2 linked regions of the Lonchura striata genome follow. The protein of the gene in region 1 interacts with the protein of each later gene in a biochemical or structural test. Links are inferred from orthologs where the notes say so. Each region holds a gene or a part of one and is shown in the gene's direction. Other genes may lie near its edges.

What was found.
Region 2: of the proteins of RIGI (region 1) and RNF135, one has a biochemical effect on the other in vitro, tested with the Homo sapiens proteins (6 studies listed by BioGRID, with this or other methods). The link is inferred for Lonchura striata from reciprocal best matches to the Homo sapiens genes RIGI and RNF135.

Annotation. Positions count from the first base shown.
Region 1 is NC_134642.1:47,535,415-47,539,331, forward strand, and holds the start of RIGI (antiviral innate immune response receptor RIG-I), read left to right. Parts: upstream 1-1,220; 5' UTR 1,221-1,407; coding exon 1,408-1,513; intron 1,514-1,593; coding exon 1,594-1,725; intron 1,726-3,475; coding exon 3,476-3,654; intron 3,655-3,917.
Region 2 is NC_134621.1:8,122,098-8,126,014, forward strand, and holds the start of RNF135 (E3 ubiquitin-protein ligase RNF135), read left to right. Parts: upstream 1-1,208; 5' UTR 1,209-1,324; coding exon 1,325-1,669; intron 1,670-2,402; coding exon 2,403-2,489; intron 2,490-3,033; coding exon 3,034-3,204; intron 3,205-3,917.

The DNA of each region.
Region 1 (3,917 bases):
CGAGTCACGGCACCAAATTGTTATAAATTGTGACACGGCAATTTGAAGTGTCTTAATTCAATAAAGCAATTTTATTTAAAATTGGCAAGCGAGTAAGGCAGGCAAAAATTCAGCGCTGGGCGGCCGGGGAATCTCCTGCTCTACCAACGGCGCGCAAAAATGTTTTGTCCCAACCTTCCTTTTATCCCCCCTTTTCTCCTTGCAGACGTGACTCTCCAAATGTAGTCTGAGTCTGGTCGTTGTGATAGCTTCTAAGTCTCTTCTTTTGAGATACAGCAAGCAGACCAGATATACACATGCCCAGGACTTTAATCTCAACTTCTTTATCACCTTGTAAGCAAATAAGCATTTCAAAGATACACTAGTACATTCTTAGCCACTATTTTATGCAAAACAAATTAGGTTAACATACCACAGTACATTCTTATGCAAACTAAGACAAGCAAGCATATTACAGTGAACAAATTATCTTCTACTTATCTCACCCCTCCTTCTGCCCCTGCTACCCCATCTGTCCACTACAAGCCCATGACTCAGAGGTCTTGTGTTGGCAGACTTTGGGAAGCATGATCTTGTGCTGGACCAGTACTTGTCAGTTGTCTATTTGTGTATGACACATCCACTCAGCACATGGTGAAAGGGACGCTTGCATGTGGAGCTGTCATGTTTAGCAGCACTTTGACTGTGGGTGCTTTCTCCCCTGCAACAGGATTGTTCCTTTGGTAAGCCTTCTCCTTTGATGTTCACCTGCCTGATCCATTTTCTAAATGCTTTTAAAAGTGCTTCTATCTTAAGAAAAAAAAAGCCAAACCAACAAAAACAAAAAACCCAAACACACCACCACAAAAGAAAAAAAAAAAAAACAAACCCACCAAAAAACAAAGCGAAACAAAACAGGATGGAAGCCCGTTCGTTCAGCTTTTTCTGGGGGCAAGAGGGAAGAGGAGGTAGACCTGTGCATTTACTCCTGTTTCTTCGGTATGCTTTTTCTCACCCTGGCAGCCGCAGAAACGGGCTGGTCACAACTGTGTGCATGCTCATATGATTAGTTGGGGTGAGGGCAGCAGTCCCCTTTTTCTTTTGCTAAAGACAGACGCAAGAGGAAAGCAGCGCCCATTTTCCCAGCTGCTTTCAGTTTCTATTCTCCAGCCGCGGTGAAGTTTCTTTTTCCCGTCGCTCCGTGCTTGGGGGCGGCTCCCACTCACTCCCTACCAGGTCTCTCTGCACCACGGCAGGGGCGGGCTCCGCACGCAGCAGGGGCCGCGGCACCGGCACCGGGACCGGGACCGGCACCGGCACCGGGACCGGGACCGGCACCGGGACCGGGACCGGGACCGGGACCGGGACCGGGACCGGGATCGGGACCGCCACCGGGACCGCCGGCGGCGGTGCGCCCGCGGCCTCGCCATGACGGCGGAGGAGAAGCAGAACCTGCGGTGCTACAGGCGCTACATCGAGAGGAGCCTGAACCCCGTGTACATCCTCAGCAACATGACGGAGTGGCTGTCCGATGGTGAGAGCGGCAGCGGCGCTGCCCCCAGCCCGCCCCCCGCCCCCTCCCGCTGCCCTCACTGCCTCTGCTGGTTCTTGCAGAGGTGAAGGAGAGGGTCCGGAAGGAGGAGGAGAAGGGAGTGACGGCGGCCGCCGCGCTGTTCCTGGATGCCGTGCTGCTGCTGGAGGCGGAGGGCTGGTTCCGGGGCTTCCAGGATGCTCTGGCTGCAGCAGGTGGGGTTTTGTCCGCCGCCCCTGTCCGGCACTGCCGCCCGCGTTCGGCGGGGCTGCGCGGAGCCGCCCGGCGCTCCCGGCACCGGCGGGGCCGCTCCGGCCGCCCTCGGTGCAGCCGCACGTCCAGTCACATCAGCTCAGATGCCGTAGGAAAAGGCAAGCTGACAGAGTCTGGAAACAAGCCTGTTGGGAGGTGAAGCAGCTTTAATAATTCTGAGGATGGAGAAAGCCTCATTGGCAGGAGACTTGCCTGTCTCTGAGCCTTTAGAGAAGAAACAAGACGGCTATTGTTCTCACCGAATACAGTGAAAGGAGGCTAAATCCTCTGAAGCAGAAAGGCAAATGGGTTTCAGGTGTGTGGGAATTGACTGGAATCGTGGGATAACTTCACTCAACGAGAGTCTTAAATGACTTTTTAAAAAATTTTAAAAGTTACTTATTGGCATTGAAAGTCTTCTATTTCAAGAAGTAACCATTAGTAGTTTATAAGGATAATTGTTCCATAGTAGTTATAACTACTTCATGTGTAAATTCCTAATCCAACTTCTTTTATTAAATGGAAGAGAACAGATTGTGAAGGTATTAAATTAGCAGCATCTTCCAGCTTTCTTCTATATGAGTATATTGTATCATATATCCTTTTTGGTGATTTATTAGATACATTGAGCCCCACTTTTATTTTAATTTTCTCACCATTAATTATGAATAATTATCTCAGTGAAAAAATATTACAATATGGGATGTGGCCCACTCATCCCTTAAAGCAAGTCCTAAGTCCAGAGCAACATTTTACCAGTCTGTGATAATCCTGATTTCTGAATTGAAGAACTATCTACTTTGAGCCTGCTAGTAATGTTCAGTGTTCAGCAAAAAGTTAAGACAGTTAGCCTGCTGATTCAAAGTGCTATCCCAAGTAGTTGTTAATTGGGCCGGAGACTAAAATTTAGAATTACTCTTCTTTTTGGCAGATGCAGGGATAAGTAATACTTAGACTAAAGACATTATGGTGGTAAGTATCTACACCACTCCTGCTCTTCTAAAAGGAAATAAGAAGTTAGGCAAATTCCTTCTTTTTGCCCACAAGTTCCTTTGGGACCCTGATCTGCTTTTTTCCACTTCAGAAGCCTACTTAGCAAATCACACAAGTCCTTAAAATATGCTTCCCTGCTGCTGTCTGTTCCAGGACCGTATTTGCAGCTGTTTGATGACTGTCTAGATTGCAGGTGTCTGTACTGCTTTCAGTCAGTGACTGTCTTGAATCCAGTACAGTAGGGATTTTTGAAGGAGGGTGGAGCCAAGGACAAGAGTGAAGGATAAAATGCAGGTAAATAAAAGACCACCAGAGCATCTTGTGATTCTGTGTAGTGTTCTTTGCTCTGGGAATCCTGTGAAAGAGTATCATGGAATGCAAGAATTACAAGGATTGTATGATTGAAAGACAGAAGTGGATATAGTTTCTTGGTGATGTGATGATATGACCTGTGACATAGTGTGGCTCTGTCTTGTTTTTGCAGGTGCTACTGGTCTTTCAGCATAGGTTTTTCATATTAGGCCATACAAGTTCTAAAAAGGAAAATAGTAACTTACTAGATAAAAATTGTATGTGCCTCACCTAGATTTTTATCATTTACAGGACAAAACAATTTTAATTTCTCCAGTGTGGCTGAGAAAATGTTTTTTCAGTTTGTTCCTACCTATTCTAGCTAGAGATTGAATTCACAGTAATGATTTGTCTTTTTTTACCTGAAAGGTTACACTGGACTGGCAGAAGCAATTGAAAACTGGGACTTTGGCAAACTGGAAAAACTGGAGCTGCACAGGCAGCTGTTGAAGCGGATAGAATCAACAATGCTGGAAATTGATCCCGTAGCAATCATGCCATACATAAACACATGCCTGATAGAGAGGGAATGTGATGAAATCCTGCAGGTATGCTAAAATCCTCGTATTTGCCTAGTTTTTCTTCAGAGAAGTGCTGGCTCCCTCTCTTGTGGGATGAATCAGTGCCTGTGTGACAAGTGGCTGGGTGAGGAGGATGGCTGGCCACAGGTCTGCCATAATTATATAATTTTTTTCTTTTCCTATTCTGAAATAGAAAGCCTCAGAGGTTTATGGCAGATAGAGTTTATTAGTGAGACTTTTCCAGACAGAAATTGACAGAATAGCTCTGTGATGTTTCACACCATTTATAA
Region 2 (3,917 bases), on another chromosome or scaffold:
AGACTCTTCTAGCTCCTTGCTTTCAACAGTCTCTACTGTTTGGTGTTTATGTGACTGGCAAATCCAACATCTAATGATTTTTTTCCAAAGCACAACTCCACATGGTGCCCCAGTGAATACATTGAGAGTAAAGGATGAACATGCATTGATCTGCCTCACCCAGGAACAGATGGAGCTTAATGAGCTTGATTATACTGAACGTTGAAAGGCAAAAACAAGTTTTAAAAGTATTTCTTCAGTGACTTGCTTGCAAATGCTCCATGAATGAGGACTGGTGTTCGGTGTTGGAGGGGAGCCTTCTCATCAGGTACCACTGTGTGCAGGAACTGATGGAGATTGCACTGGCTGACACAGAGCACTGAGTGTTCCATGCCTCAAGACAAAGTCTAAGATCTGGTTCTACCAAGCAGCAAGTCATTCACACATTTAATTCTTCTTTACAGATAGCCTCATTTTGCAAATCAAGAGGAAGTCTTGCAGACCAAGTTTCTGGTGAGGCTTCCACCTTCTGCTGACAATTGCCAGCTGGTCTTGAGATACTGTAAATAGTTCTTTTTTTGCAGAAATGAGAAGTGCCAATATTTGCAGGAATTAGTGACACTAATCCTTCTTTCTCTCCACCCCCACTCGCCCAGTAGTGCAAAGCAATTGAGGTGGTTCATTATTCTGCCTTTCTCAGCTAGCTCATCATCCAGCTCTGAGCAATGTGCAGCAGTTTTTTGTGTTGATATGCTCCCATGAACTTCCTGTGTTCCAGGCTGTGTCCCCACACAACCCCGTTCATTCTAGCTGACATGGTGGTTCAGCAATTTCTATTAAACAGCCTAATCCTGCAGCTCCTGAAATCAACAGAGAGCAGCTTTTGACTTGTATGATGAACAATGCCGGTCTTCATTGTTAATTGTTATTTTGAGATTACCTGAGTAGCTGGGGATGACCTCAGAAGGGTTTGGTCCCCCCAGTAGCCTGGACTTCAGTCAGACAAGGTCTGCACTGTGCTGTGCCGTGGCACTGTTCTTCCGGCTGGGTCAGCAGACTGCCCATGTCAGCAACTTTCACTATTACAAAATCGGGAAAGTCACGGAGGAAATGAAATTGTGCAGATAACGGGGACTTTTTTTGGACAGTCAACGAAAGTGAAGGCCAGGCCCTTGAGAGTTGTGCGTCAAAGTCCATTTCCACCCGCACTCCAAACCGTGCGACCAAGGCACGTGAAAGGAGCGGGGCAGAGCAGAGCAGGGCGGGCAGAGCCGGGGCGCTCTCGGCAGCGGAGGAGGGGCCCGGGGAAATCGGAACTGCGCGGCCGCCGCGCTCCGGGCGGGCCATGGGCGCCGTCATCGAGCTCGAGAGGCTGCAGCGCGTCCTGGAGCTGCACTGCTCCTGCTGCCTGCAGCTCTTCGCGGAGCCCGTGCGGCTCACGGGCTGCGGCCACAGCTTCTGCCGGGGCTGCATCCTCCGGTACTGCGCGGGGCGGCGCCGCGCCGCCTGCCCGCTCTGCCGCTGCGCCTTCGAGCCGCAGCACCTGCGGCCCAACCGCGAGCTGGCCGCGCTGCTCGGCCTCATCCCGCGGGAGCTGAGGGACACCTTGGAAGCGCAGGAGGAGCCGCGAGCCTATGGAGCTGCTGCCTGCAACGACCTGAGCTCGGCGGGGCGGGGACGTGGGGAGAAGGTACGGCCGGAGGCAGCCCGGGGCTCCCCGACACCCGGGAGCTTCACCGCCCGACATCCTGGGGCTGCTCCGCGACACCCCGGGGGCATTCCGAGTTCGCATCCCCCGGCTCCCGGGGACTCCTGCCCGCGACATTCTGGGACAGCCCGGGTTTCCGTCCCATGGCACAGAACTCATGGAGCAGATGGGTTCGGCTGACAGTGCTGGGGCTCCTTGGTGGTGTCTGACACAATTAGGAGAGCTAATACCTGTACGCGTTCAGCTGATGCACAATAGTAGTAAGTGACTTCTTTTGTGCTGGGTGTTACTTACTGCATCAACATTGCGTTGGAGACTGCTGAAAGGACACGACAGTGCTACAGCTCCACCCAGCTTTATGGCGCGAAATGGGAAAGGTTCATGATCTATATCTCTGCTTAAAACGACTCCCAGAGGAGGAGATGAGAAAAACGTGTTGACCTTAATTGTTTTAGCACATATATATCTTTTTCAGTCAAGCTAAGAGCATATTAAAGCTCACAGTTACAGCTGAACATATAAGTAATTGGTGACTGTTGATGTTGACTTAATTGTGATTATCCTAGTCAGAATTGTGTCTTTCAGACGATTCCTCAAACATCGATTGCTTAACTAATGTAAGTCATGTAGGGAATTTTTATTGTCCTGCAGCTTAGCCTAGTCATGCTTTCTCTGAGGTTTTTATAGATAAATAGTTCCATGTGTCACTTTAAAGGAGGAAGAGATATGGGAGAGCTCCAAGCAACAAGAAATAACTGCAGAGACCATCCACCTGTTGAGGAAAGATCTCAACAGAACAAAGGTACACACTGTACATTCATCACCTACAGTAATTTTCTCTTTCCACTGTTATGGGCTGAAGATGTTGACTGCAGGGTTGCCTTCCAGCTCACAGCTGGAATCCATCCGCCTTTTTGTTTCCTTCTTTTCTGTCATAATCCTGTTTTTGCTGATGAGAATGAATATATGCCATCAGCTGCATTATTTGTGTCTTGGCTGGCACAAAAGCCACTGGAGTTGTGCATTGTTGCATTTTTCTGTTTCTCCCAGGAGTAGCCTGAATTATTCTGGTACACTTAGATGCAAATTACAAATAATAATAAGAGGGAATATTGAACTTTCTGAGTTGTCAAGCAGAGTCCACTGGCCATAAAATAGTCACGATCCAAATGCCCCAAATCTCATTGTATGTAATGCAGGATAGTATCAAATATATTTCATTCCTTTGAATAAAGTTTTTTGGTCTGCAGGGGTCACTCAAAGAGCACATTAGATGGGACAGTAATTATCATATTTCGTGCATCTTTCCTAACCACACAATGAACTCCATATTTTCTGTCTTTCAGGAATATACATCTCAGATCAAATGCCAGATTACTAAAGATTTCTGTTGCATGAAGGAATATGTTGAAAGACAGGAGAGAAACACACTGATGTTCATTGAACAACAGCAAAAAGCTGCTCAACAGAAAATTGAAGAGACTATTCACCAGCTCACAGACATCAAAGCCCAAACTGTAAGTGATGAAGTGCAGAATATGAGTAGAAACTCAGGCTCACTGGGATAGCTGAATACGTACAGAGCACCTTTGAGGTCCTCACTGCACCATTCTCATAGAGACAATGGTGCCAGTCCATGGACATTGCTGTCAGCAGGGAGAGTTTGGAGTGAGAAATTCAGAGGGGAAAAAAGTACTGAAAGAGGCACAGGCTGGGAATAGAATTCAGAACTAGATTTTTTCCAAGGATATTGGTGAGCTGGAATGAAGTGGGAGTGCAGTGCTGAAAGCCAGTACTCAGTCAAATCTGAAGTCAAGATCTTTCATTATCTTTTTATTTTCCACACAGTTATGCAAGTTTAAAAACTCATAGAGTTATTAAATATTTTGTAACCGTTTTCTTGAGGAAAACACATCAAGGACCTCAAAAGATGAAGTTAAAGTACTTCAGATTGTGTAGAGCCTATTTGGATGTTGAAAACAACAGTGCCAAGTGATGCAAGTTAACCAGCAGGAATTTGGAGTGGGGCTTACTGGGTGGGGCAGTGCCATGAGACAGAATTGAACTTCCAGGATCCAGGAACAGGTGCCTGCATTGGAATTCACCTGATCCAGGGTCCCGTTACAGGCAGTGAGGACAAATGGGGACTTTCAATGTTATCTGGCCTACTTGAAATATCCACCTGCAAAGGAGATTAATCCAGCCTCCAAAAGGCTGTCCTCCTACAGAC